Anolis sagrei: one gene and its partner. The protein of the gene in region 1 purifies or fractionates together with the protein of each later gene. This does not show direct contact. Links are inferred from orthologs where the notes say so. Each region holds a gene or a part of one and is shown in the gene's direction. Other genes may lie near its edges.

What was found.
Region 2: the proteins of VARS1 (region 1) and EEF1G purify together in Homo sapiens (affinity purification with mass spectrometry; 6 studies listed by BioGRID and IntAct, counting the BioPlex papers as one, with this or other methods). This does not show direct contact. The link is inferred for Anolis sagrei from reciprocal best matches to the Homo sapiens genes VARS1 and EEF1G.

The regions. Positions count from the first base shown.
Region 1 is NC_090022.1:21,192,324-21,208,114, reverse strand, and holds the start of VARS1 (valine--tRNA ligase), read left to right. Parts: upstream 1-8,804; 5' UTR 8,805-8,913; intron 8,914-14,976; 5' UTR 14,977-14,995; coding exon 14,996-15,349; intron 15,350-15,791. Other genes in the region: U6 snRNA-associated Sm-like protein LSm2, read left to right, coding at 1,208-1,275, 1,918-1,948, 2,379-2,438, 3,154-3,279. UniProt on the Homo sapiens protein: Catalyzes the attachment of valine to tRNA(Val).
Region 2 is NC_090032.1:21,208,251-21,224,052, reverse strand, and holds the start of EEF1G (elongation factor 1-gamma), read left to right. Parts: upstream 1-8,069; 5' UTR 8,070-8,162; coding exon 8,163-8,177; intron 8,178-11,758; coding exon 11,759-11,917; intron 11,918-12,039; coding exon 12,040-12,103; intron 12,104-12,227; coding exon 12,228-12,370; intron 12,371-14,744; coding exon 14,745-14,888; intron 14,889-15,802. Other genes in the region: RXFP4 (relaxin-3 receptor 2), read right to left, coding at 4,329-5,810. UniProt on the Homo sapiens protein: Probably plays a role in anchoring the complex to other cellular components.

The DNA.
Region 1 (15,791 bases):
TTGGCGACCCCTCTGACACCCCTTCGCGACCCCTTCAGGGGTCCTAACCCCCAGGTTGAGAAACACTGGCTTAGATAGATGGAGCCCCTGGTGGCACAATGGTCAGGACTGCTGACCAAAAGGTTGGTGGTTCAAAGCCAGGGAGTGGGGTGAGCTCTCCTCTGTCAGCTCCAGCTTCCCATGTGGGGGCATGAGAGATGCCTTCCACCAGATGGTAACACGTCTGGGCGTCCCCTGGGCAATGTCCTTGCAGATGACCAATTCTTTCACACCAGAAGCGACTTGCAGTTTCTCAAGTCGCTCCTGACACACACACACACACACACACACAAAAGAAGCTCAGATAAGTGATAATGCTGAAATATAACATTTACTGTGACACAATATTCTGTTTAGAGAGAAGAATGAAAGCAACACCTGGGAACTGTACCTCCTACAAACAGGGACACGAGCCAGCTGTACACTGCAAAATCAATGTAGTTTGATGCCCCTTGACCATCCATGGATCAATGCTATGGAGTCCTGGGAGTTGCAGTTTGGTGAGGACCAGTTCTCTTTGGAAGAGAAGGCCAAAGACCTTAGAATAGTAGAGTTGGAAGAGACCACATGGGTCATCCAGTCCAGTCTCCTGCCATGCAGGAAAACCACAATCAAAACATCCTCAACAAATGACCATTCAGTATTTTTTTTAAAGCCTCCAAAAAAGGAACTTTCATCACACTCCAAGGCAGAGAGTTCCACTGCTGAACAGCTCTTACAGTCAGGAAGTTCTTCCTAATGTTCAGGTGGAATCTCCTTTCCTGTCATTTGAACCCATTGCTCCATTGAGTCCCAGTGTCCAGAGCAGCGGAAAACAAGCCTGCTCCTTCTTCCTTATGAGAGTCTTCCAGATATTTATACAAAGCAATCATGTCATTCTCTTCTTCAGACTGAACTTTTCCAGCTCCTGAAGCCACTCCTCATAGGGATCATTTTAGTGGCTTTGTGAAACTACAACTCTCACGACCCCATAGCATTAAGCCACAGTGATGTCAAATTACATTAATTCTACACCCAGTGCTGCAGACAAGCAACTTTTCCAAGCCCTGCGAAGCACGTGGTGTTTCCTGCTGGGCAGTGCAAGGAGACTATGAGGTTTTTACTTTGTCTTTGAGTGCATTATCTTTTTTACTTCTTTGTTTACATTGTCCCTTCTTCCTGGCTACAGCTCTTCTACTCCTTCTTCAAGTCCCTGGTAGGGAAGGACGTAGTGGTTGAACTGAAGAATGACTTGAGGTAGGTCTCTTATTTGCAAAGGAAGTTTTGCTTTTTTGGGGTGGGAGCAAGATAATGAACTGTCAGTTCCTAACCCATTTTCTCTGCCTTTTCCATCTTCAAAGAAGCCACAATTTGCCTCCAGTAAGCACTAACTGAGTCAGTTGCTTCACTTTGCCTAATGACAGAACTGGCCTTGATTTAGATCAAACTTAAAGAACCCATGTAATAATAATAATAATAATAATAATAATAATAATAATAATAATTTATTTGTACCCCACTACCATCTCCCCAAGGGACTCGGTGCGGCTTACATGAGGCCCAGCCCACAATACATCAGCAAAAACAACAACAGCAATACAAAACAATAAAATGAAACTCATAAACAAAAAACAAGCAGTAAACATTAACAATAGCACAACAACGCTTAAAAACCTATGTCTGGGCCAAATGTAATAATTAATTTTTTTTTAAATAATTCTGAGCATGACCAGGTGAAATATATAACAAGGATAGAATTTCGGAGAGGAAAGGGCATGCAAACAATCCTAGATCATTGATAAAGTGCATTTAGGGACATATTGCTCGGAGTTTCCTTATTCTGTATCCTTTCTAATGTTCAATAATGTCTTTGCTTTCTTTTTCCTCCCTTAAATACAGCATATGTGGGACCCTGCACTCCGTGGATCAGGTACGATTGAGCCAATTCTTCTTCCCTTCTGGAGAATGCATGTGGCTTTGTTGGGTTTACACATTTATTTTATTTATGATATTTATAGCCTGCCTTTCTCAGCCATACAGCAACTCAAGGCGGGATACAGATTGGCACAATTCAATGTCAGGCATTCATAAAAGTGCCATTAAAAACAAACAACATTACAATATAAAACACAAATAAAAACAGTTAAAACATATAATCATCTGTGTCATCTTGTTAAAAATGTAATCAAGTAACATCATCTGGTCATTCCATGTTTATCATTCATAGTTCCATGTTATCTATTCCGCTGCTTTGCCTGTTTTGAGTGTCAAGTGGTGGCTTGCATCTGTGAAAAAAACATTGCAGAAAGGGGTTTATTATGTCCTTATATACACTTCTCTTTCCTTTTCTTGAAATACAGTACCTGAATATCAAGCTCACAGACATCAGTGTAACAGATCCAGAAAAATACCCTCATATGGTGAGTCTTACACCTAGGCTGATGGGAGTTGTGGTTGCTTCTGAGGCTAACAGCGGGAGCTCACCCCACTCCCCAGATTTGAACCGCCGATTTTTTTTTGGTTAACAAGTTTAGCAGCTTGGTGGTTTAACCCGCTATACCACCGGGGTCTCCTTTTTTTAAAGTAACCTAGTGATTTTTCCTGGCTCTGGATATTTGAATCCTGTGGTACATCCAGGCATGGGCAAACTTGAGCCCTCCAGGTGTTTTGGACTTCAGCTCCCACAGTTCCAAACAGTGAGTAGGCTGTTAGGAATTGGAGGAGTTGAAGTCCAAAATACATAGAGGGCTCAAATTTGCTCATGCCTGATCTATACTGTAGAATGAATACAGTTTGATCCCACTTTGTTATGGCTGAATGCTATAGAATCATAGGATTTGTTGTTTTGTAAAATCTTTAGCCTTCTTTGTTAAAGAGTGCCGGCACCTCACCAAATTGCAGTTCCGATAGCATTGAACCATTGCAATTAAAGTGGGGTCAAGTTGCATTAATTCTACAGGGTAGCATCCTAATCTAGCACTCAAACCACTATGCAAGCTCATGTAGATCTCTGTGTGCTACCTTTCAGGGCAAGACATAAAAATGAAGACATTATTTAAAGGTAGTTTCACTGTTCTGAACAAACAAAAAATATCACAATAACAAACAAAATGCATCTTTTCTTCCTCCGACCAGCTGTCTGTCAAGAACTGCTTCATCCGTGGCTCTGTTGTTCGCTATGTTCAGCTTCCAGCTGATGAAGTCGACACCCAACTTCTGCAGGATGCCGCACGAAAGGAGGCCCTCCAGCAGAAGCAGTGACAGTTTCCTTCTTTTTACTCCCTTCCCACCCTAATTTCCACCCAGAAGTGCTGGAGGAAAGCTAGACCAGCTTCTTTATGGGAGGGAACCAGCAGTGTATGTGTATATGCGTGTGTATGTGGGTACATTCAAGTGTACTGTTGGGTGAGAAAATCCTTGTGAATATTTTCCATTTCTTTTGTCCCTCCCAGAGGCAACTCTAGTGGGGGAATATTGTTTTCTGTTTCCACTACATGGATGAGACCCATTACTGGGATAATACCAGTGCTTTTTGTTTTTCTAAGCTCCTATTGCCAGTAGCTCAATTTTTGTTTTTCTACCGAACTCTCCCTCCGTCCCATTCAGCATTTCATTTCTGTAGCACTGTTTGCTGCTGAAAAAGTATCTCCCAGCAAAGGTCTGTTTCCATATTAATATATAAAAGAAATGCATGCAGACATTTCTGGAATACATCCTCCCAGTTGTCCTCCAGGAATGTTGGGATACAATTGCAACACTCCTTTGAGCTAAAATGGAGAATGTTGTGAATGTTGTAGCTCAACACATCTGAAGGAGCCTTAGTTGGAGGAGATTGCTTTAGTCTTCCTCTTCTATACAATGGTCACAAAGGATGGCTAAAAGCTAGACTGTTTTTTGGCTACAAGCTCTTTCCAGCTTTCTCTTGTCTAACCTCAAAAAGGTAATTTTGGGAAGTGTTTGAAGTCATTAGAGATTTTGTCAGTGGATATACCACCCTTTTTGTTGATAATTTCAAAACGTGCTGAAGGACTCTTGCAGAACCTTTGGTGCCAACATCATTTCGGTCCCATAACCTTATTTTATTCCATCCAATGTACACCTGTAATCTCTTAATAAGAGTGATACATTCAAATATTTTTGTCTTTTGGGGCTCTAGAGGATACTAGAAACCTAGATCCACAATCTTTCTGAAGCAAGAGAAGTTTGCTTCTTCATTGGTTTTGTTCCTGCAAAAAGAGTGAAACAACCCATATTCATGCTTCTGAAGTTTTGTTATCCTAGTGATTTCCATCCAGGGGTGTGTGGGATGACTTTTTTGTATTTACAAGGGATGTTTTGAAAAAGAAATATGTAACATTTAAACTATGGAAGAATAAAATGTTGAATTTGAAAGACTAGTTGCTCTGAGTATCAAAGATAGGCACAATATCATATAAACAATGGATATAAATAGATGTTGCAGACACTTATTGTTTTCTGAGAGAATACTTCCTAGAAATGCCTAGGCCCTCTAATTGAATGATTAACGGTAAGACACGACTAATCAAATCTGCAAATGCTCACCTTCAAATATAGAGAATTATGGATATGTATAGAACACACATTTTTCCTTTGCTTATTTATTTACAGTATTTATATTCCACCTTTCTCATCCCAAAGGGGACACAGGGTGGATAAGAGAACACATATTCGGTAAATATTCAATGTCGATTATACAATGACAAGACAGGCAACAGATAGTAGTATTATATCAGCTTTTCCCTATCTTTTCGGCATCTTTGGAGGCTGTGCTCAGTTCCGGCCACAGGGGGATGTTGTCGCTCCATCTCCTTGCTGAAGAGCATTCTTCGTTGGTAAACTTTTTTCTTCTTTTTTCTCTGATTGAAAAACTGTGCTTAAAATACCTCCCTACTTTAATGCAGTTCCTGTTTATCTACTATTTGCTGTTTTTGATCTGCTCGTTGGGCGGGTAGTTGGGCTGAAGGTCAGGAGCTCACCCTGACCCAGCTTTGAACTGTCAACCTTTTGGTTGGCAACCAAGATTTATTGCAGCTATAGCTGGCGATTAACCTGCTGTGCTAAAGCCAGCTTATGTAGTTTGAGGCAGCTCTCCCTAGAAGCCAGGATGACAAAACAGAGAGTGCTGCACTTTCAGCATATCATATGGAGTCCCCGGTGGCGCAGTGGGTTAAACACCTGTGCCGGCAGGACTGAAAACCGACAGGTTGCAGGTTTGAATCTGGAGAGAGGCGTATGAGTTCCCTCTATCATCTCCAGCTCCTCATACGGGGACATGAGAGAAGCCTCCCACAAGGATGATAAAAGCATCAAATCATCTGGGCGTCCCCTGGGCAACGTCCTTGCAGACAGCCAATTCTCTCACACCAGAAGCGACTTGCAGTTTCTCAAGTCACTCCTGATATGACAAAAAAACAAAAAGCATATCATAAGAAGGATTGACTTGCTAGAAAATACAACACTATGCAACATGATTTTTGGTCCTGGGTTATAAATGTCATTTCCTAATTGGTTTGATCTTAAAAACAAGGAAAATGATTATTAAACTTCAAAAAATTGTTTTTGCAAGACATCCTGCAGCACATTTTGCTATAGTTTTTCAATGAATATCTCGAGTCTCAATCAATTCACCTTACTTTGTGGCAGTCACAAAAATGAAGTTTCTGGACTATAACAACAATTTTCAAAGTAAGTACCACATACTTAAACAGGAAATAACTTTTTCAAACCAGGAATACATTTTTTTCATGCGGTTTCTCAAGTCACTCTTGACACGAAAAAAAAATCACTTTGCCATTGGTCTTGTTTAGCTGGGGAACATGGGAAACAAAAAGAGTGGGCCAAACCATATTATTCTATGATTGCACACCACAGTATTTTTAAAAAGCCCTGCTAATCACGCATAGTGTTTATTACTTACTTAGGCAATCCCTTGTAGTCCGAGTAGGATTGTCATCCAAGATCGATGTACTGGCGGTGGGTCCGTAGGTGACTGTGGAGCCCTATTCTTGATCTGCATCTTCTGAAGTGAGAGCATTGGTTTCCAGGTGGAAGGCGGTCCCGGTCGGGATTGGCTTGACGTGTCTTCCTCTTGGAACATTTCTCTCTGTCTCCCTCCATTTGTGCCTCTTCAAATTCTACAGCATTGCTGGTCACATCTGACCTCTAGCTGGAGGGCTCAAGGGCCAGGGCTTCCCAGTTCTCCGTGTCTTATGCCAGAGTTTTTGAGGTTGGCTTTGAGCCCATCTTTAAATCTCTTTTCCTGCCCACCAACATTCCGTTTTCCATTCTTGAGTTTGGAGTAGAGCAACTGCTTTGGGAGACGGTGGTCGGGCATCCGGACAACGTGGCCGGTCCAGCGGAGTTGATGGCAGAGGACCATCGCTTCAATGCTGGTGGTCTTGCTTCTTCCTGCACACTGACATTTGTCTGCTTGTCTTACCAAGAGATTTGCAGGATTTTCTGGAGGCAACACTGATGGAATCGTACCAGGAGTTGCATGTGATGTCTGTAACAACAAACACAAATCCACTACAAGTCGTAGTACATAATTCACAAAGGTAAATGTTTTTTTCCAGCTTATATAATGCAATATTAAACTTATAACCAACTTATATGATATCATATAAGTTGATTATAAGTTTAATATTGCATTATATAAGCTGAAAAAAAATTACCTTTGTGGTTTATGTACTATGACTTGTAGTGGATTTGTGTTTGTTGTGATTGTGGAAATCCATTGTCTTATGTGACGTCTGTAGACAGGCCACGTCTCGCAGGTGTATAGCAGGGTTGGGTGGACAATGGCTTGATAAACAAGCCCCTTGGTATCCCTACAGATGTCCAGGTCCTCAAACACTGTGCTTCATTCGGAAAAATGCTGCACTTGCAGAGCTCAGGCGGTGTTGTATTTAAGTGTCGAATGTGGAGAGGTGGCTGCCAAGGTAGCGGAAATGGTCAACATTTTCTAATGTTTCACCATTAAGCTGTATTTTTGGCATTGGAGAGGGATTGGCTGATGACTGCTGCAAGAGCACTTTGGTTTTCTCGATATTCAGTGACAGGCTGAGCTTCTTGTATGCTTCTGCGAAGGTGTTTAGAGTGGCTTATTTATTTATTTATTTATTTATTTATTTATTATATACCATCCAGTCTCAACCTCCGCAGAGGGACTCAGGACGGCTAACAAAACGGCACCCCATGGTGCCCATACCAGAAACATAAAAATACAATTTAACAGCAATATGGCAATAAAACTGTATAAAACAATCCAGCAGTCAGCAGTTTGAATCATCATCCAAGGGGCAATCAGTCAGTTCTATAAAAGTCGTCATATCAGCAACTCAACCTAATCTAGCCAGGATTTCACTTGTTTCCGGAAGGTCAAGAGGGATGCAGAAGATCTAATTTCACTTGGGAGGGAGTTCCATAGCTGAGGGGCCACCACAGAGAAGGAACCAGGCTTTTGGCTAATGGATATAACAGCACCTGAACAGTGAATTGGACTAGACGGTTGTTATAATGGAACTGCCTTTATGATTGGATAACTAACATTGTTTTAATGTATTATATTGTATGATTTTATTTTGCTATTATAATTGTAATTATTGTGGCATCGAATCGTTGCCATTGTTAGCTACTCTGACTTCCCATGAGGAGGTGAGAAGAGCGGGGTAGAAATGCTGTAAATAAATAAATAAAATATCCCTTGTCACAACCAGACGTGATTGCGACAATGGGGGGACAATGAGCAGGGTCTCCCTGGATGATTTTAGGGCCGTAGGTGGATCGTAGCGGGAGATACGTTCGTACAGGTAAACTGGACCAGAACCATTTAGGTCAGTGATGGGCAACCTTTTGAGCTTGGTGTGTCAACATTTGCCAAAAACCTGAGCATAACTTGGGTGGGGTGTCAACTTCAAGAAAAAAACAACATAATTTTGCAATATTTATAGTTTAAATAAGAAAAATGTATATTCCATGCTGAGTTATGGAGTGAACAATGCTCAAACGTGCAAATGTTAAATTTGTAGAGCCTTTTACAAATTTAAGGATGGAATTAGATTGGCTGTTATAAGGTGTACTTCTCTGTCTGTGGCCGCATGTGGCCACGTGTCATCAAAAATAGCGATGCGTGTCAGTGCTGACACACGTGTCATAGGTTGACCATCATGGATTTAGGTCTTCTTCTGAATGCGCACAGATGACGTTGTCATCAGCATACTGGAGTTCTATAACACATGTTGTAACCTTGGTTTTGGCTTTCAGTCTGCTGAGGTTAAATAGCTTGCCATCTGTCTGATAGATGATTTCCACTCTGGTGAGAAGCTTCCCATCAACAAGATGAAGAATCATAGCTATTTTCCATAGTGTTTATCACAGAGATATCAATGTTGAGAAATCTCACTATATACATTTATGGGCTAATAGTCTCCTAATAAGAGAACTTTGCCCGGAAGTTCTGCATCTGTATCACTCTAACTGTTTTTCTCTGTGGTCAGTTTTAGACTTTTTGTCACTCCTACCAATAAGAAGAGGACCCTGCGAAGGGCTGTCTAAGCAACTGCCTTTGTGAAAAAAAATAAATCCCCATTCACTCGAATGTGCATGATGCAACTGGTTTGTAATCATTAGGAGTGAAGGCTCTCCTTCCTTCTAGGAGAGGAAGCGGTATTCAATTGCATTACTTCTACAGTGTAAATTTACTCAAAGGCACAGGGTTATTACAGTGCTGTTTCCTTAACTTTGCGCACCTAGTATTCCTCCTGCTTGTAGATACATGAGACAGGCATTGCTGTAGACGCCTACAGAAGGGGTCCTTCCTCCAAAAGAAAAAGCAGCACGTGGGGGAGAGGCTGGGACCGGCTGGCAGTGCAGGTAAGAAGGAAGCCCTTCCTGTCCCCATTCCCTGCTGGGACCCTCCCAACTATTCAATAAGTACTTCCCCTTCTTTAGCCTGTGCTGTCAACTCTTTTCTCTACTTCCAAGAGACTTGGATTTCCTGCTTCTTCCCTTTGCAGTTCATTGCAGCTCTGAGTGCATCTACACAGTGGAATTAATGCAATTTGATACCACTTGAACTGCCAAGACTCAGTGCTATGGAATCCTGGGAGTTGCAGTTTGTAAGGTCTTTAGTTATTCCTTCCCCACCAAAGTACAACGCCCAGGATTCCATACCATTGAGAGATGGCACTCAAAGTGGTGTCAAACTGCATTAAATATGCAGTGTAGACATTAATTCCCAGTTGTCACTTTAAAGAATCCAGATCTTGTCAGATCTTTGAAACTAGAATCCTAGAGTTGGAAGAGACCTTATGGGCCATCCAGTCCAACCCCCTGCCAAGAAGCAGGAAATTTGTATTCAAAGCATCCCCGATAGATGGCCATCCAGCCTCTGTTTAAAAGCTTCCAAAGAAGGAGACTCCACCACACTCCGGGGCAGAGAGTTCCACTGCTGAACAGCTCTCACAGTCAGGAGGTTCTTCCTAATGTTTAGATGGAATCTCCTTTCATAGAATCATAGAGTTGGAAGAGACCTCATGGGCCATGCAGTCCAACCCCCTGCCAAGAAACAGGAAAAATGCACTCAAAGCACCCCCGACAGATGGCCATCCAGCCTCTGTTTAAAAGCTTCCAAAAGAAGGAGCCTTTACCACGCTCCGCGGCAGAGAGTTCCACTGCTGAACGGCTCTCACAGTCAGGAAGTTCCTCCTAATGTTCAGATGGAATCTCCTTTCATAGAATCCTAGAGTTGGAAGAGACCTCATGGGCCATCCAGTCCAACTCCCTGCCAAGAAGCAGGAAAATTGCATTCTAAACACCCCTGACAGATGGCCATCCAGCCTCTGTTTAAAAGTTTCCAATGAAGGAGACTCCACCACACTCCGGGGCAGAGAGTTTCACTGCTGAATGGCGCTCACAGTCAGGAAGTTCTTTCTAATGTTCAGATGGAATCTCCTTTCCTGCTTCGTGTCCTAGTCTCCAGGACAGCAGAAAGCAAGTTTGCTCCCTCCTCCCTATGATTTCCTCTCCCACATTTATACATGGCCCTCATCATACCTCCTCTCAGCCTTCTCTTCTTCAGGCTAAACATGCCCAGGTCTTTAAGCCGCTCCTCATAGGGCTTGTTCTCCGGGCCCTTGATCATTTTTGTTGCCCTCTTCTGGACACATTCCAGCTTGTCAATATCTCTCTTCAATTGTGGTGCCCAGAATTAGACACAGTATTCCAGGTGTGGTCTAACCAAAGCAGAATAGAGGGGTAGCATGACTTCCCTGGATCTAGGCACTATACTCCTATTGATGCAGGTCACAATCCCACTGGCTTTTTTTTTTTGCCGTCGCATCACATTGTTGGGTCATGTTTGACTTGTTGTCCACGAGGACTCTAAGATCTTTTTCACACGTACTGCTCTCGAGACACGCCTCCCCCATTCTGTATCTTTGCATTTCTTTTTTTCTGCCTAAGTGGAGTATCTTGCAACTAAGCAGGGTCAGCTCTATTTCGCCCTTGCAAGGATGCTGTAGTGCAGGCATGGGTTGTTAGGAATTGTGGGAGTTGAAGTCCAAAACACCTGGAGGGCCAAAGCTTGACCATGCCTGCTGTAGTGTGTTTCAAAAGAAGGAACGGGCAAAACCACATCTTGAATATTCCTTGCCTGAGAAAAACTTACAAAATTAATAGTTAGTGATGAGTCCACAGTCAGACTTGAAAGGACACATACAAATATAGGCAATCCCCAAGTTACAGACATCTGACTTATAGTTAAGAACGGGGGTGAGACAACAAGAACTGAGAGAAATCGACTTATAGGAAGGGAATTTTATTCCTGGGGGAGTTATCATGGGGAAAAGGTATCTCCATTGAAGCTTTCTCACCCATCCTTGTTTCCACAACAAGTCATAATATTCAAATTCCACACCTGGAATACTGTGTCCAATTCTGGGCATTGCAATTCAAGGGAGATGTTGACAAGCTGGAATGTGTCAAGAGGAGGGTCTGGAGAAAAAGCCCTATGAGGAGCGGCTTAAAGAGCTGGGCATGTTTAGCTGCAGTAGAGAAGATTGAGAAGAGACGTGATGAGAGCCATTTATAAACATGTGTGTGTGGGGGGGGGGACATCATAGGGAGGCGGGAGCAAGCTTGTTATGGGATGACTGTATATAAAAAAAACTGGGAATATTTTATCCTTCATAGAATACTCCTTGGGACCTCTATCCTAATGCCTGAAGATCTAAGGGTGCATTTATGCTATAGAATTAATGTAGATTTAACTCCACTTTAACTGCCTTGGCTCAATGCTATGGAATTTTGGGAGTTGTCGTTTTACAAGGTTTCAGTCTTCTTGCCAAAGGGAGATAGTGCTTCATCAAATAAAAAATCATGGATTCCCAAACATTGAACCATGGTATCAAATTGCAATTATTCAGCAGTTTTGATGCACTGTATTATAGAAAAGATACCCGAGTCCTAGAGCCATCTGGATAGCATCTCAAGCATAAAAATAATGATTTAGAACAAATTTAGGAGAGTTCCTGAAAAATTAGATTCCTTTCTTTCCTGGATTCAGATAGTTGAGGTAATAACATTTCCTCCTCCTATCTCTTGGGACACCGTCTTTTCCCCATATGGCACTGCAGAAGTATTTTCACTAACTCTCTTCTCTCAGCATAATATAACTATCATGCACAGTGTTTATATTTATTCTCTACACAGACATATAGCATGCATTCAGGAAAGGTGGAGAAAACACTGGCTTTTGTTCCTCTTGAGTCATTGAGTTCCTCTTTTCACCTTAAAAAAAAGAAACGGATGCATCACTGAAAGATATGCTGAATATTGCATCTTCCTAGGCCCTTCTATACTGCCATATAATACAGATTATCAAAGGAGATAATTCACATTATCTGCTTTGACCTGGATTATATGAGCCTACACTGCCATATAATCCAACTCAAAGCAGATAATCTGGATTTTATATATCAGGGTGGATGTGTTGGGGATTCCTCGTCGGAAGAGGAAGGGGAGCAGGGAGGTGCTCAAGTCTTGGAGGGAGAGGAAGAAGAATCCGACAATGAGGTTTTGCAGGTGCCTACTTTTGTAGAAAGACAGAGGGAGTCAGAGAACAGGCTGCGGTCAGCTGCTAAAAGATTGATGAGCTAATTGGGTGACACCGTAAGCCCTCCTGTGTGGAGTATAAATCAGAAGCAGGAGAACTTAGCTTTTTGCTGCTAACAGCAACTCTGTTACTGTCGTAACCTGCTTTGTGTTGAAGACTTTGTGATCTGTGCCTTATTGTCTGCTGATTTTGCTGGGAATTTTTCAAAAGACTTTCATTGGTGTCTGTAGTAAGACTTCCTTGTTTTCTTTTTCAATTGCATTTGCTTATTTTGTTTGCTGGTGTAAAGCATTTTTCTTTTACTTTCAATTTTGTATTGAGGCTGTTTTTTTAAGAGCAAAACAGGACAGGATGGGAGCTAAGTGACAGTTTGATCCCTCTTGAAATTATTGCTCACAGGACGACTTAAAAATCAACTATTTATTTATTTTATTTACAGCATTTATATTCCGCCCTTCTCACCCCGCAAGGGACTCAGGGCAGATTACAGTGTAGACATATATGGCAAACATTCAATGCCAAAGACATACAACAGATATAGACAGTCAGAGGCTATTTAACTTTTCTGGCCGCCAGGGGAGCTGTCGCTTTCATCGTCCATCTGCGACTGATGAAGTATTTCTGCATTCCCCGCATGCTTTTTTGCTGGAGTGCTTTGCTGAAATCTTTTTTATGGCCTCATAAATTAGTTAAATTAGCCTCCCTACACATAGGTGGTACCTAATTTTCCTACTTGACAGATGCTACTGTCTTTCGGGTTGCAAAGGTCGACAACAAACTACACTATTGGTTGGAAGCTCACTCCCACCCGGGCTCACTTTGAACTCATGACCTTTTGGTCAGAAGTGATCTTAATGGAGCTGACACTCAGACAGCTGCGTCACAGTCCCGGTGCAACTATGGGAAATCTAAAGTTCTGGTTTTTTTTTAAATTTCCCCATGCCGATGGTCACTCAATGGGCATAATTTAGAACAGGCTAGAAACTTCCAATACCTGGGGTTGACTTTCTGTCACATAATGTCCTGGACCTCTCATATATCTGCTACTTCTCAGAAAGCTCAAGTAAGCAGATTAGCCATCTTGCACTTTAGTCTAACCAAATGAGGTTAGTATATACCATCTGCTGTTAAAGTTTTTAGAGCTAAGACAGCCTCCCAGCTGTTGTATGCTTCCAATATTTGGATTGAGGGCTTAACATCTCAGCTAAACAAGCAACAATTAATTTTCTTGACGGCTCTCTTTCAGTTCTCCAGTTGTGTTCCAACTTGCATCTTGCTGCTAGAATTTGGAAGCTTGGTGGTTGGCTCTTAAATACTGACTCAAGATTAGTGTTTTTGGTTTGTGTCCAGGTCAAATTTACCATCTATCTCAGGATGAGTATACAGGTTGATGGTCTAGGGTTATTTTTTTTAAATGCCTCTTCCATTAGCCTTTCTGCATTAATTTTAACTCGCCTAGGTTTTGACTTGGCACTTAAACCAAGCGAAAACTGTGGGACATTGCCTTCTGTAAGTTGTAATCCAACTCATATGTTTCTTGTTCCCCTAGTACCATGATGGTGAATCTATGACACGCGTGTCAGCACTGACACGCATGGCTATTTTTGATGACACGCAGACACATGTGGCCACATACAGAGAAATACACCTTATAAGAGCCAATCTAATTCCATCTTTAAATTTGTAAAAGGCTCTCAAATTTAACAACTGCACATTTGAGCATAGTTCACTCCATAACTCAGCATGGATTATACATTTTTCTTATTTAAACTATAAATATTGCAAAATTATGGGGTTTTTTTTCTCAAAGTGACACTCCACCCAAATTATGCTCAGGTTTTTGGCAAATTTTGACACACCAAGCTCAAAAGGTTGCCCATCACTGCCCTAGTATGTTGTGTATACACTACACAGGACCACTCCACAGAGCCAATTTTCTGTTCCTGGTTTGTAAGTCTTATTTCCTGTTTAATTGTGCAGTACTTAATTTGAAGGTAGTTGTTATACTCCAGAAACTTCATTTTTGTGGTTGCCACAAACTATGTTGAAATGGTCACAACTCTGTGAGATGCTCATTGAAAAACTATAGCATAATGTACTGCAGGATGTCCTGCAAAAACAAAGTTTTTGCAGTTTAAGAAATCTTTCCCATGTTTTCATGATAGAACCAATTTGGAAATGACATTTATAACCCAGGAACAAAACGTGTGTTACATAGTGTTATCTAAAGAATCTGACTATTGCCAAATACTGCCTATTTACCAAAGCAAGATGTCACATATTCCCCTCAGGAATGCTTTGAGGCAGGTTTGCAAGTGTTCTATATCATACAAGAAGGAAGTAGAATGTGTGAAACACACATGATTGTCCCGAAGCTTTTGCAAGCAGGCTCAACAACATATTATTAACCCATTGCCGTGCAACCTACCTGGTAGGTCAGCTGAATTCTATGTCAAGTTTTTACTGGAAGATAATCTTCCTCGTGTGCCTTTGGACATTACCAAGTTTCTCTCAGGGGTAGCCAGGATAATAAATCTTGCTGCTCTAGACTCAAGCTGAAACTAGCCTTTGCATTAATCCATATGTACCTTGTATTTTCTTGTGTTTTAACCAGTGTATTAATCTGTATGCACTTGAATATCTTCGATGTTCGAGCTGCCTGGGTCTGTAATAAAGCTTGTGGTTGTCATAATTTAAGTATTCCCTATTGGACCAAACCAGATTGGGGTGCCTCTGGCTTGCCAGATATACTATATGTATAAGGATCTGTGTCTCAAGGGCTGATCCTTCATCTCTAACTCTTCCTTGTTCTTTGTTTGCAGGACACACTGTCTCCTCGCCATGCCAACCCTATATCTTTCCCCACATCCTGACAACTTCCAGAATCTTTGTGTGCTTGTTGCAGCCCGTTATGGCCATCACGAGCCCAAGGTGGTCAATCTGCCCCCTGACACGGAGCTGGAGAACCCTTCCATCTCCATCCCCAAGCTCCCAGCTCTGGAGATGCAAGCTGGCATCTATGTGTCTGGGCCTGCGGCTGTCTCTTTCCTCCTCTCCTCAGATGCCTTGAGAGGGCAAGGTCCTGAAGCCAGTGCCTTGATCCGGCAGTGGATCAGCTTCGCCAACTTGGAAGTGGCTCCTGCTGCTTGTGCAGCGGCTTTTTCAGTGTTGGGGGTCTCCAAGCAAAATAAACAGGTAAGCACTGGGAGATGTGCGTCTTGCTGATGTAGTGCACTGCAGTTACTCAATGAATATTTTTGGAAAATGGCATTCATAATCATTTGAAGATCATAACCTTTTGGAAAAGCATGACCTTTTAGAGAAGAGCCAGAAACCCATTTGAGAAGAATCTCCTCACAAGTGGTACATGACCAGATGTAATTATTCAAGGCAATTTACCTTTCAGTTGTTAGACTGATAACCTGTTGTGTCTGATCTGTTAGGAAACAGAGGATATGCCTGCACAAAATAGCAGTGCTTCAGAAGTGTTTTTCAGTTGCCCAAAAATACGTCTACTCTCCTATAAAACAACTTGTTTTATGGGTTGTTGTGAGGTTTTTTGGGCTATATGGCCATGTTCTAGAAGCATTAGAAACATAAAGCAAAGGAAAGATAGCTGCATATCAGAACATATGTA
Region 2 (15,802 bases), on another chromosome or scaffold:
TGAATGGCCTTGCAGCTGCAAAGTCAATCAGTGAGAGTATCTGCATAGAGATCTATTGGAAATTAGGCAAGTAGACTGCATATTTTCCTGCTGAATGATGTCCGGAACTCTGCGTGAGTGTTGCCGTCGGCCACCTTGATTAGCATTGAATGGCCTTGCAGGTGCAAAGTCAATCAGTGAGGGTATTTGCATAGAAGTCGGTTGGAAATGAAGCAAGAGACTGTATATTTTCCTGTGGAATTATGTCCAGAACTCTGTGTGAATGTTGCCATCAGCCACCTTGAATAGTATTGAACGGCCTTGCAGAAAACAGGGGGATTCCAGGCAGGTAACAATCAGGGCCAGCTAACACTTCCCAACAAAGGATTCCCCCAAGCAGCCAGACAAGAATTCTTTCTCCTACACTCGACCCCATTCCACAGATATATAGACCCCACTGGCCTAGTTTCCAACAGACAACCTCTGAGGATGCCTGCCATAGATGTGGGCGAAACGTCAGGAGAGAGTGCTTCTGGAACAGGGCCAGAACTCACAGCAACTCACCTGGTTCTGTTTCCATTCCAAATATTGTACACAGACTAGGATCAAAGGGTTCGCCTCTCGTAAAACTTGGAGGCCGGAAGGCAAGAAACAAAACTTATTGCGACCTTCAGACTTTACGGGCTGTTTTGCATGAACACTAAAGCCGTCAATGGCACGAACATTCCACCTGTCGGCAAAATAATACAGTTAAATAAAGGACTCCACTCAGAAAGGGGAACCCCAGACACCTCTCAAACTGAGGGTGCCTCCAGGCAACAGGGGCCAGGTTACCTCTATGCAGATACCCTCACTGATTGACTTTGCAGCTTCATATCTACTCAGTTCTATTCAAGCTTACTCATTGCAACATCCACACTGGCTTCAAACAGACAAGGGTTCATCCTCCCACCCTGGACATCATTCCACACTCCACTTGCTACCTCTATGCAGATACCCTCACTGATTGACTTTGCAGCTGCATGGATACTCAATGCTATTCAAGCTTGCTCAATGCAGCACACACACTTCAAGAGAGTAAATTATTACTATTACTATTATTATTATTATTATTATTATTAATACACTCCACTTGCCATATCTATGCAGATACCCTCACTGATTGACTTTGCAGCTGCATGGATACTCAATGCTATTCAAGCTTGCTCAATGCAGCACACACACTTCAAGAGAGTAAATTGTTATTATTACTACTACTATTATTAATAATACACTCCACTTGCCGTATCTATGCAGATACCCTCACTGATTGACTTTGCAGCTGCATGGCTGCTCAATACTATTCAAGCTTGCTCAATGCAGCACACACACTTCAAGAGAGTAAATTATTATTATTACTATTATTATTATTATTATTAATACACTCCACTTGCCATATCTATGCAGATACCCTCACTGATTGACTTTGCAGCTGCATGGCTACTCAATGCTATTCAAGCTTGCTCAATGCAACATCCATACTTGCTTCAAACAGACAAAGGTTCTTCCTCCCACCCAGGACATCATTCCACAGATATATGTATATACACTTCGTTTGCTACCTCTATGCAGATACCTTTACTGATTGACTTTGCAGCTGCATGGCTACTCAATATTATTCAAGCTTGCTCATTGCAACATCCACATTGGCTTTAAATAGACCAGGGTTTATTCTCCCACCCTGGACATTCCACAGATAGTTATATATACACTTCATTTGCTACCTCAATGCACATACCCTCACCGATTGACTTTGCAGCTTTATGGCTACTCAATGCTAGTCAAGCTTGCTCATTGCAACCTCCACACTTGCTTCAACAGACAATGGTTCGTCCTCCCACTCCAGACATATTCCACAGGTATATACATTTCACTTGCTACCTGAATGCAGATACCCTCACCAATTGACTTTGCAACTTCATGTCTACTCAATGTTATTCAAGCTTGTTCATTGCAACATCCTTGCTTCAACAGACAAGGGTTCATCCTCCTACACTGGACATCATTCCACAGGTATATCTACACTCCACTTGCAACCTCTATGCAGATACCTTCATTGATTGACTTTGCAGCTTCATGGCTACTCAATGTTATTCAAGCTTGCTCATTGCAACATCCAAACTGGCTTTTAATAGACAAGGGTTTGTTCTCCCACCCTGGACATCATTCCACAGGTATATATATATATATATATATATATATATATATATATATACACTCCACTTGTGACCCCTATGCCGATGCCCTCACTGATTGACTTTGCAGCTGCATGGCAAGTCAATGCACAGATAAGTTTTCTTTCTCCCAAAGAGAGATATATGTATATATACACACACAAGCACACCACTTGCCTTACTTCCAACAGACCTCTCACAGATGCAGGCGAAACGTCAGGAGATAATGCTACTGGAACATGGCCATATAGCCAGAAAAACTCCCAGCATCCCAATAAAATTATTGTTGTTGTTGTTGTTTCCTCAAAGGATGCAACAATGAACCAGTGTCCTTCAGAAACTTTGCCCTGGAGCATGGTTTGGTGCTTGGATCCTCTTCCAACTGTGATCCTACCCAAATGCCTTCAAGTTCCATGTTTCTTTTGGGGTCACATTGGCATTTCTACCCCTGGTATCCTCTCAACCTCACGTTCCTTGGAGTCCTGGCATCCAGAGAAGGTCGGGAAACCCTACTGTTCGCTGGACTCCTGCGGCTCAAGAACAGGACCACAACTTCCTCCAGCGTCTGGTGAGAAGAGAAGTACGTGTGGACAACGTAGAAGGCCTTCCTCAGAGAGACCACCTTGAACTTGACTAGGAACTTGACTTGCGTTCTCACCAGAGACACGACGGACTTGGAGGAACCTCAGGAGGAGCAGGTAGGAGGTCAAGATGACCACTAATGGGACCATGAAGGGGAAGACCACCCTCTGGAGTTCGTAGACGTTCTCACCAGAGACACGACGGACTTGGAGGAACCTCAGGAGGAGCAGGTAGGAGGTCAAGATGACCACTAATGGGACCATGAAGGGGAAGACCACCCTCTGGAGTTCGTAGACGTTCTCACCAGAGACACGACGGACTTGGAGGAACCTCAGGAGGAGCAGGTAGGAGGTCAAGATGACCACTAATGGGACCATGAAGGGGAAGACCACCCTCTGGAGTTGGTAGACGTTCTCACCAGAGACACGACGGACTTGGAGGAACCTCAGGAGGAGCAGGTAGGAGGTCAAGATGACCACTAATGGGACCATGAAGGGGAAGACCAAGCTCTGGAGTTGGTAGACGTTCTCACCAAAGACACAACAGACTTGGAGGAAACTCAGGAGGAGCAGGTAGGAGGTCAAGATGACCACTAATTGGACCACAAAGGTGAAGACCAAGCTCTGGAGTTGGTAGACAATCTCACCAGAGACACGATGGACTTGGAGGAACCTCAGGAGGAGCAGGTAGGAGGTCAAGATGACCACTAATGGGACCATGAAGGTGAAGACCAAGCTCTGGGGTTGGTAGACGTTCTCACCAAAGACACAACAGACTTGGAGGAACCTCAGGAGGAGCAGGTAGGAGGTCAAGATGACCACTAATTGGACCACGAAGGTGAAGACCACCCTCTGGAGTTTGTAGACGCCCAACCCCTGGTATCGTCTCACGTTCCTTGGAGTCCAGGCATCCAGAAAAGGTTGGAAAACCCTCCTTCTGTTCGCTTGGACTTCTGCGGCTCAAGGACAGGACCACAACTTTCTCCAGCTTCTGGTGAGAAGTAGGTGTGGACAACGTAGGAAGCTTTCCTCAGAGAGACCACCTCGAACTTGACTAGGAACTTGACTTGTGTTCCCACCAGAGACACGACGGACTTGGAGGAACCTCAGGAGCAGGTAGGAGGTCAAGATGACCACTAATGGGACCATGAAGACTACCCTCTGGAGTTTGTAGACACCCAACCCCTGGTATCCTCTCAACCTCACGTTCCTTGGAGTCCTGGGATCCAGAGGAAACCCTACTGTTTGCTTGGACTCCTGCGGTTCAAGGGCAGGACCACGACTTCCTCCATCGTCTGGTGAGAAGCAAAGTAGGTGTGGACAATGTAGGAGGTCTTCCTCAGAGAAACCACCTCAAACTTGACTAGGAACTTGACTTGTGTTCCCACCAGAGACACGACGGACTTGGAGGAACCTCAGGAGCAGGTAGGAGGTCAAGATGACCACTAATGGGACCATGAAGACCACCCTCTGGAGTTTGTAGACACCCAACCCCTGGTATCCTCTCAACCTCACGTTCCTTGGAGTCCTGGGATCCAGAGAAGGTGGGGAAACCCTACTGTTCGCTTGGACTCCTGCGGTTCAAGGGCAGGACCACGACTTCCTCCAGCGTCCGGTGAGAAGAGAAGTACTGGTAGTTCGCCACGGAGGAGGAGAACCTCCGGAAGGTGTCTTTGAGGGCTTCCCGGAATTCACGGCGCATCAGACAGTATAGGACCGGGTTGAGGCAACTGCTGGCGTGAGCCAAGCAAGTGGAGATGGGGAAAAAGTACGTGTGGACGACGTAGAAGGCCTTCCCCAGAGAGACCACCTTGAACTTGATTAGGATGCCCCAAAAGGTCACGGCGTGGTTGGGGAACCAGCAGACGAAGAAGCACCCCACCACTAAGCCGACCGTAGCCATGACTTGTTTCCGCCTCTTTGAGTTCTCACCGGAGACACGGCGGACGTGGAGGAACCTCAGGAGGAGCAGGTAGGAGGTCAAGATGACCACTAATGGCACCACGAAGGTGAAGACCACCCTCTGGAGTTGGTAGGCGCCCAACCAAAACGGCGACGGGAACTTGAAAACGCAGATTTCCACCCCAAGGACGTCCACCACAGAGGTGTAGATCATGGTCGGAATGGTGGCTCCCATGGCTAAGACCCAAAGAGCCAACGTTGTCCACTTGGCCACGCGCATTGTGATTCTGGAACCATCCTTGATGGCTGAAGCCACCAACTGGTAGCGGGCAACGCTCATGGCCGTGAGCAAGAAGACGTTGGTGTAGATGCTGAGGACGGTCATCGATGGGACTATCTTGCATAAGGTTATGCCAAAGGGCCAGCTGAAGTCCAGCGCCATCTCGGTTGCCCAGAAGGGAAGGGTCAAGGAGAACTGGAAGTCGGCCGCCGCCAAGCCAAAGACGAAGATATTAATGGCCGGCGCGGGGCGGATCTTCTGTGCTCGGATTAAGTACATCACCAACGCGTTTCCCAACAGCCCCATGGCACAGACCAACGCATAGACCACGACGATGGTCATCCGCAAGCCAAAGGCAACGTCAGAAGGCATCTGAAGGTCTTCATCCTCATTGAAGGCACCAACGGAGGACCAATTCCAAACGCTGTGGTCAAGGGAGGTCTGGTTCTTGAGTTCCAGATCCCTCCTGGCCTCCATCTTCTCCAAAAGATACTTTGGTTTGGACCACGTTGCCCGCTGGATCACCAAAAGGAATGCTCCTCCATGGGTGGTGGCCTCCCAGATGATACGTCTCCCTTGGCTTTTCGTTCTCTTCCGCTTCTCCAGGTCTTCCTTTGAGAAAGGAAGGGAAGATCTAACCTGCCAAAGGAAGGCTGGAACCTGCCTCAAGACCAAGGACAACCCCTGTTTATGACCACTGGGCAGGGCACGGTTGGTGGCCCGTCTTCTTCTCCGGGAGGAAGAAGGAGGAGGAAGCCCAGCCTTCGCTCTCTGGACTTTTACGGGGATTCTTATCTTTGATTGCGTGCTGAGATTTGTGTAAACAGTCAGGAAGGTGGAGGGAGCCACCTTCATAATATATTATTTATTATAAATATAATAATATGTATAATATAATATAAAAATATAATAATTATTTATTATTATAATAAATAATAAGATTTATTATTATGATTATATAATATGCCAATAATAGCACTATAACAATGTAATATAACGTAATGTAAAATAATACAATAATATTATAATAATATGCCGATTTAAGATTATTATTTATTATTATTATTATTATATATACCAATAATAGCACTATAACAATGTAGTATAACATAATGTAATATAATACAATAATATTATAATAATATGCCGATTTAAGATTATTATTTATTATTATTATTATTATTATATATACCAATAATAGCACTATAACAATGTAGTATAACATAATGTAATATAATACAATAATATTATAATAATATGCCGATTTAAGATTATTATTTATTATTATTATTATTATATATACCAATAATAGCACTATAACAATGTAGTATAACATAATGTAATATAATACAATAATATTATAATAATATGCCAATAATAGCACTACAACAATGTAATATACAACAACAACAATTCTTTATTGATTAGTCAATTTTGACCATATCAAAACATGCAAAACATACAATGTAATATAATGTAATGTAACGTAATATAATATTATAATAATATGCCAATAATAACACTATAAGAATGCAATATAATATAATAATAATATTATAATAATATACCAAGAATAGCACTATAACAATGTAATATAATGTAAGTCACATAATATAATATTATATTCTAATAATCTACGAATAATACCACTATGACAATGTAATATGTAATATAATGTAATGTGATGTAATAATAATAATATACCAATACTATAACAATGAAATATAGTATAATATAATATATAATATAATAATATAAATATAATATGTAATATAATAATATAATAATAATATACAAAGAATATCACTATAACAATGTAATATAATGTAATGTAACATAATATAATATTATAATAATATGCCAATAATAACACTACAACAATGCAATATAATATAATAATAATATAATAATATACCAGGAATAGCACTTTAACCATGTAACATAATATAATAATAATATAATAATATAATAATAATATTCCAATAATAACACTACAACAATGCAATATAATATAATAATAATAATAATAATAATAATACTATACCAATAATAGCACTTTCACCATGTAACATAATATAATAATATAATAATTATAATAATAATATAATATTCCAGTAATAGCACTATAACAATGTAACATAATGTAATGTAACATATAATAATAATAATAATAATAATAATAATAATATGTACCAATAATAATAAGACTGTAACCATATGGTGGGAAAGAATTTCTGAGGAACCCGGAAGCTCCCTCTCCGATTGAGGGTGATGGTTGTCTACTATTTTTTGGCTAGCTCTATGTTTCCTTGGACATTTCTGGGAAAGGATTTCTGAGGAACCCGGAAACTCCCTCTCCGATTGAGGGTGATAGTTGTCTATTATTTTTTGGCTAGCTCTATGTCTCCTTGGGCATTTCTGGGAAAGGATTTCTGAGCAACCGGGAAACTCCCTCTCCGATTGAGGGTGATGGTTGTCTACTATTTTTTGGATAGCTCTATGTTTCCTTGGGCATTTCTGCGAAATAATTTATAAGCAACCCGGAAACTCCCTCTCCGATTGAGGGTGATGGTTGTCTACCATTTTTTGGATAGCTCTATGTTTCCTTGGGCATTTCTGCGAAATAATTTATAAGCAACCCGGAAACTCCCTCTCCGATTGAGGGTGATGGTTGTCTACTATTTTTTAGCTAGCTCTATGTTTCCTTGGGGCATTTCTTTCTGAGCAACCCGGAAACTCCCTCTCTGATTGAGGGTGATGGTTGTCTACTATTTTTGGCTAGCTCTATGTTTCCTTGGGCATTTCTTTCTGAGCAACCTGGAAACTCCCTCTCCAATTGAGAGTAATGGTTGTTTACTACTTTTTTTGCTAGCTCTATGTTTCCTTGTGCATTTCCTTCTGCGCAACCTGGAAACTCCCTCTTCGATTGAGGGTGATAGTTGTCTACTATTTTTTGGCTAGCTCTATGTTTCCTTGGGCGTTTCTGGGAAAGAATTTCTGAGCAACCCGGAAACTCCCTCTCCGATTGAGGGTGATGGTTGTCTACTATTTTTTGGCTAGCTCTATGTTTCCTTGGGCATTTCTCCTCCGCAAGGCCCCGCCTCTCTCTCTCTGGTGACGTCACAGAAGAGGCCGGCGGGGAATGTCGCACTGCTGCGCTTTACGGCCGCGCCGTGCGACGCTCCTCCTTTTCCTCTCCTCGCGAAGATGGCGGCGGCCGGGGTGAGCTCGCTTTCCGGAGGGGGAGCCGGCCTCCATCCGCTTCCATCGGGGCCGGGGAGCCACGGAGGGGCCCCGAAGCGGGACGAGTGGGGAGAGGGGACCCCGGCGGAGGTTTTGGGGCCTATATGGGGGCGAGGAAGCGGATGAAGGGCGAGAAATGGGGGCGAGAAGGGCCTCCGGGGGGGAGTGTCGGGTCACTCTATCCACGTCGAAGTGGCTTCTTAGGCCTCAGTGGAGTGGAGGGAGTCTAGAAGCAGGCTTGGGCCCAAGCTTGGACACTCCTGGTGTTTGGGACTACAACTCCCATCATTCCTCACAGCCTCAGGACCTTTCCTTTCCCCCCTGGGCCCTCCAGGTGTTTGGGACTACAATTCCCATCATTCCTCACAGCCTCAGGACCTTTCCTTTCCCCCCTGGGCCCTCCAGGTGTTTGGGACTACAACTCCCATCATTCCTCACAACCTCAGGCCCTTTCCTTCCCCCCTGGGCCCTCCAGGTGTTTGGGACTACAATTCCCATCATTCCTCACAACCTCAGGCCCTTTCCTTCCCCCCTGGGCCCTCCAGGTGTTTGGGACTACAATTCCCATCATTCCTCACAGCCTCAGGACCTTTCCTTTCCCCCCTGGGCCCTCCAGGTGTTTGGGACTACAATTCCCATCATTCCTCACAACCTCAGGCCCTTTCCTTTTCCCCCTGGGCCCTCCAGGTGTTTGGGACTACAACTCCCATCATTCCTCACAGCCTCAGGCCCTTTCCTTTCCCCCCTGGGCCCTCCAGGTGTTTGGGACTACAACTCCCATCATTCTTCACAGCCTCAGGCCCCTTCCTTTCCCCCCTGGGCTCTCCTGGTGTTTGGGACTACAACTCCCATCATTCCTCACAGCCTCAGGCCCTTTCATTTCCCCCCTGGGCCCTCCAGGTGTTTGGGACTACAACTCCCATCATCCCTCACAGCGTCAGGCCCTTTCCTTTCCCCCCTGGGCCCTCCTGGTGTTTGGGACTACAACTCCCATCATTCCTTAAGCGGCTGAGGGGGAAAAGGAAGGGGCCTGAGGCTGCGAGGAATGATGGGAGTTGTAGTCCCAAACACTCAGAGGGCCCAAGCTTGCAGGCTGTTCTTTGGCCTGTTGTGACAACTGGGACTGAGAAGCCTTGGGGCAATCTGGTGCCCATCATCCTGTTCCTTTGCTGTCTAATACTTTGTCTTGCTAGCCATTGTGGGACTACATTGCCCATCATCCTGTTCTTTTGCTGTCTAATACTTTGTATTGCTAGCCATTGTGGGACTGCATTGCCCATCATCCTGTTCCTTTTGCTGTCTAATACTTTGTATTGCTAGCCATTGTGGGACTACATTGCCCATCATCCTGTTCCTCTGCTCCTTTTCATGTCTTTCTTGTCCTTCCCCTCATCCCTAATAATAATAGTAATAGTAATAGATACATAGGCACTTTGGGTCTTGTTTGTGGAGAGAATAAGCAGAGTATAAACATAATAATAATAATAATAATAATAATAATAATAATAATAATATATACATAATAATACATAATAATAATATATACATAATAATAATAGATATATAGGCACTTTGGGTTTTGTTTGTGGTGAGAATAAGCAGAGTATAAACATAATAATAATAATAATAATATATACATAATAATACATAATAATAATATATACATAATAATAATAGATATATAGGCACTTTGGGTTTTGTTTGTGGTGAGAATAAGCAGAGTATAAACATAATAATAATAATAATAATAATAATATATACATAATAATACATAATAATAATATATACATAATAATAATAGATATATAGGCACTTTGGGTTTTGTTTGTGGAGAGAATAAGCAGAGTATAAACATAATAATAATAATAATAATAATAATATATACATAATAATAATAATAATAATAGATATATAGGCACTTTGGGTTTTGTTTGTGGTGAGAATAAGCAGAGTATAAAAATAATAATATATACATAATAATACATAATAATAATAATACATAGGCACTTTGGGTCTTGTTTGTGGAGAGAATAAGCAGAGTATAAACATAATAATAATACTAATACTAATTATAGATATAAACATCATAATAATAATAATAGATACATAGCCTCTTTGGGTCTTGTTTGTGGAGAGTAAGCAGCGTATAAACATAATAATAATAATAACAATAGATAAATAATAATAATAATAGATACATAGGCACTTTGGGTCTTGCTTGTGGAGAGAATAAGCAGAGTATAATAATAATAATAATAATAATAATAGTAATAATAATAGATACATAGGCACTTTGGGTCTTTTTTGTAGAGAAAATAAGCAGGGTATAAACATAATAATAATAGATACATAACCACTTTGAGTCTTGTTTCTGGAGAGAAAAGCAGGTATAATAATAATAATAATAGATACATAGGCACTTTCGTTCTTCCTTGGGGAGAGAATAAGCAGAGTACAAACATAATAATACATACATACTAATATAGATACATAGTTGCTTTGGGTCTTCCTTGGGGAGAGAATAAGCAGAATATAAACAATAATAATTATAATTGCTATTACTATTATACATCTAATACTAAAAATAGATACATAGCCACTGTTTGTGGAGATAATAAGCAGAGTATAAACAATAATAATTATAATACATATTAATACTAATAATAGATATAAACATAATAATAGATATATAGCCACTTTGGGTCTTGTTTGGGGAGAGAATAAGCAGAGTATAAACATAATAGTAATAATAATGCATACTAAAACTAATAATAGATGCGTAGCCAATTTGGGTCTTGTTTGTGGCGAGAATAAGCAGGGTATAAACATAATATAATAATAATAATAATAAATTCCTTAGCTTTTTGCTTCTATCCATACTTTGGTCTTTCCTTCTTTCCTTCCCTCCCCCTTTCTCTCCTTTCTTCCTTCTCTACCTCTTTCCTTCCTTTCCTTTTTCTTACCTTCTCTTCCTTCCTTCTCTACCTCTTTCTTTTCCCCTTTTTCTTTTCATTCCTCTTTCTCTCCTTTCTTCCTTCTCTACCTCTTTCCTTCCTTCCTTTGCTTTTTGCTTCTATCCATACTTGTCTTTTCTTTTTTCCTTCCCTTCCTCTTTCTCTCCTTTCTTACTTCTCTACCTCTTTCATTCCTTTCCTTTTTTTTACCTTCTCTTCCATCCTTCTCTACCTCTTTCTTTCCTCCCCCTTTTTCTTTTCATCCCTCTTTCTCTCCTTTATAATAATATAATATAATAATAATAAATAATAAATTAATAAATAATAAATAATAAATGATAATACTAATAATAGATACATAACCTCTTTGGGTCTTGTTTGTGAAGAGAATAAGTGGGGTATAATAATAATAATAATAATAATAATAATAATAATAATAAATATGTATACATCACACAGTCCTAGATGCTTGGGAAGTGTTCGACTTGTGATTTTGTGATAGGAAATCCAGCATATAGATCTCGTTTGCTGTGACATACTGTGGTTTGGTGTCAGTAAAATAATAGTAATAGTAATAATAATAATATTAATATTATCCTTCTGCAGACTCTCTACACTTACCCCGAAAACTGGCGGGCTTTCAAGGTCCTCATTGCGGCCCAGTACAGCGGCGCCAAGATCAAGGTCCTCTCCAGCCCGCCCCAGTTCCACTTCGGGCAGACCAACAAGACCCCCGAGTTCCTGAAGAAATTCCCAGTTGGGAAGGTGGGTCTCTGGGATGGAGCTGGGACCTGTCAAGACTGGGAAGCGTATTCTTGGGAGCACTGGGAGACTTAGCGTCATTGTTTACATCCCTTTGGTGGCTTACGACAGCTCTTTCTTTGTAGGTCCCAGCTTTTGAAGGGGACGATGGGTTCTGCGTGTTTGAGAGCAACGCCATTGCACACTACGGTAACAGTATTCCCCCATGTGTCTTTGTCATTACCTCCATAAAGGGGGATTTATAGTTTGTGGGAATTCAGCTCAGGAATCCAAGCAAGGCCTATTGTGGTGACCGTCTCCTTCATTCCTTCAGTCAGCAACGAAGAGCTGCGAGGAGCCACCAAAGAGGCGGCCGCCCAGGTCCTCCAGTGGGTGAGCTTTGCCGACAGCGATATTGTGCCTCCCGCCAGTACCTGGGTCTTCCCAACCTTGGGCATCATGCATTACAACAAGCAGGTAAAGTCCGCACCATACACCATCGCCTTTATATCAAACTAGCCATCCCCTGCCACGCGTTGCTGTGGCCCGGTCCGTGTATATGTGTTTTGTGTGTATATATATGTGTGTATTTGTGGTTTTGCGCATGTGTTGTATTTTAATTTTTGTTTTTTGACTTTTAAACTCTCTTCCACTATGCTTCTCAGTGTTTTTATGAGTGATGGTCACTCAGATATTTTCTTCTCCCTTCCTTCCCTCCCTCCCTCTTTCCTTCTTTCCCTCTTTTTCTTTTCCTCCTTCTTTCCCTTTTTCTTCTTTCCTTCTCTACCAGTTTCTTTCCTCCCTTCCTCTTTCTCTTTTCTTCCTTCTCTCCTTCCTTCCCTCTCTCTTTCCTTCCTTCCTTCATTCTCTCTTTCCTTCCTTCTTTCACTTTTTTATTTCCTTCTCTCCTTCCTTCCCTCCCTCTTTACTTCCTTCCCTCTTTTTCTTTTCCTTCTTCTTTCCCTTTTTCTTCCTTCTCTACCAGTTTCTTTCTTCCCTTCCTTTGCTCTTTGGTTCCATCCTTTCTTCTCACCTTCCCTCCCTCCCTCTTTCTCTCTTTTCTTCCTTCTCTCCTTCTTTCCCTCTCTGTATCCTTCCTTCCTTCTCTCTCTCTTTCCTTCCTTCTTTCATTTTTTATTTCCTTCTCTCCTCCCTTCCCTCTTTCCTTCCTTCCTTCCTTCCCTCCCTCTTTCCTTCCTTCTTTCATTTTTTAATTTCCTTCTCTCCTCCCTTCTCTCCCTCTTTCCTTACTTCTTTCACTTTTTTATTTCCTTCTCTCCTTCCTTCCCTTCCTCTTTACTTCCTTCCCTCTTTTTCTTTTCTTTCCCTTTTTCTTTCTTCCTTCTTTACCAGTTTCTTTCCTTCCTTCCTTTGCTCTTTGGTTCCATCGTTCTTTCTCTCTCCTTCCATCCTTCCCTCCCTCCCTCTTTCTCTCTTTTCTTCCCTCTTTCCTTCCTTCCCTCTTTCCTTCCTTCTTTCCCTCTTTTTCTTTTCCTTCTTCTTTCCCTTTTTCTTTCTTCCTTCTCTACCAGTTTCTTTCCTCCCTCCCTTTGCTCTTTGGTTCCATCCTTCCTTCTCTCTTTCCTTCCTTCCCTCCCTCCCTCTTTCTCTTTTCTTCCTTCTCTCCTTCTTTCCCTCTTTTTCTTTTCCTTCTTTCCCTTTTTCTTCCTTCCTTCTCTAACAGTTTCTTTCCTCCCTTCCTTTGCTCTTTGGTTCCATCCTCTCTTTCCTTCCTTCCTTCGCTCCCTCTTTCTCTCTTTCCTTCCTTCTCTCCTTCCTTCCCTCTTTCCTTCCTTCTTTCCCCCTTTTTCTTTTCCTTCTTTCCCTTTTTCTTCCTTCTCTACCAGTTTCTTTCCTTCCTTCCTTCGCTCCCTCTTTCTCTCTTTCCTTCCTTCTTTCCTTCCTTCTTTCACTTTTTTATTTCCTTCTCTCCTTCCTTCTCTACCTTTCTCTCCTTCCTTCCTTCCTTCCTTCCTTCCCCCTTTCTGTGTTTTGTGTGTGTATATATGCATATATGTGTGTATATTTATTTGTGTATGTGTGTTTGTGTATATTTGTGGTTTTGTGCATGGATTGTCATGTAATTTTTAATTTTTGGCTTTTTAAGTCCCTTCCGCTGTGTTTTTCAGTGTTTTGATGAGTGATGGTCACTCGTTGGCCTGAGAGGTGTCTTGTGTCCAAATTTGGTGTCCATTCGTCCAGTGGTTTTTGAGTTATCTTAATCCCACAAACGAACATTACATTTTTATTTATATAGATACACCATTTAAAACCGTCCTAGCCATTTGTGTCAAATCCAATTGCCTGGCCATCTTTCCTATTGTCCTGAAAGCTTGGTCCCACAGCCAAGTTTTGACCATCCTTCTAAAGGACAGGAGGGAGGGGGCCGACCTGATCTCACCAGGAAGGGAGTTCCATCGCCGGGGAGCAATCACCGAAAAGACCCCGTCTCTCGTCCTTGTGAGAATGGTGGGACGGAAAGCAGGGGCTCCCCGGAGGATCTTAATCTCCGCGATGGTTCATAGGGGGAGATGCGTTCGGACAAGTAATTTGGGCCGGGGCTGTTTAGGGCTTTCTAGGCCAAAGCCAGCACTTTGAATTGCGCCCAGAAGCAAACAGTTAGCCAGTAGAGCTGGCATAACATGGGAGTTGTGTGCTCCCTGTATGCCGCCCAGATTAGTAATCTGTCTGCCTCTCGTTGGACTAGTCGAAGCTTCCGAGCAGTCTTCAAAGGCAGCCCCACATAGAGTGCGTTGCAGTAGTCTATCCTAGATGTAACGAGAGATTTGATTTAATGTTATGTGATGCATTTGATGAAGTGTTGCCAGTCCTTGTCGTCCTCCCTTGACAGGCCACAGAGAGTGCAAAGGACGAAGTGAAGCGGATCCTGAGCCTCCTGGACTCCCACCTCAAGACCCGGACGTTCCTGGTGGGCGAGCGGGTCACCTTGGCCGACATCACCGTGGTCTGCACCCTCCTTTGGCTCTACAAACAGGTGAGGGGCCGAGGCTGCTGCTATTATTATTATTAAAATTATTATAGACTAGCTCAGTGTTTCTCAACCTGGGGGTCGGGACCCCTGAGGGGGTCGCGAGGGGGTGTCAGAGGGGTCGCCAAAGATCATAAGAAAAAACAGTATTTTCTGATGGTCATGGGGATTCCATGTGGGAAGTTGGAGCCAATTCTATCGTTGGTGGAGTTCAAAATCCTCTTTGATTGTAATGAACTAGAAATCCCAGCAACTACAACTCCCAAATGTCAAGATCTATTTTTCCCAGACTCCACCAGTGTTCACATTTGGGCATATTGAGGATTCGTGCCAAGTTTGGTCCAGTTCCATCATTGCATGAGTCCACAGTGCTCCCTGGATATAGGTGAACTACAACTCCCAAACTCAAGGTCCATGCCCATCAAACCCTTCCAGTGTTTTCCATTGGTCATGGGAGCCAGGTTTGGTTCAAATCCATCGCTGGTGGAGTTCAGAATGCTCTTTGATTGTAGGTTAACTATAAATCTCAGCAACTACAACTCCCAAATTACAAAATCAATCCTCCCCCAACCCCACTAGCATTCACATTTGATGTTTTGGGTATTTGTGCCAAGTTTGGTCCAGTGAATGAAAATGCATCCTGCATATCAGATATTTACATTATGATTGATAACAGTAGTAAAATGACTGTTACGAAGTAGCAACGAAAACAATATTATGGTTGGGGGTCACCACAACATGAGGGACTGTATTAAGGGGTCACGGCATTAGGAAGGTTGAGAACCCCTGGACTAGCTGTACCCGGGCATGCGTTGCTGTGGCCCATTGTGGAGAAATGGGAAAGAAAGAAAGAAAAGAGGAAGAGCTGGTTTCTATACTATCAATACACAATGGAAGGACTGAGACAGGCCATCTCAGTC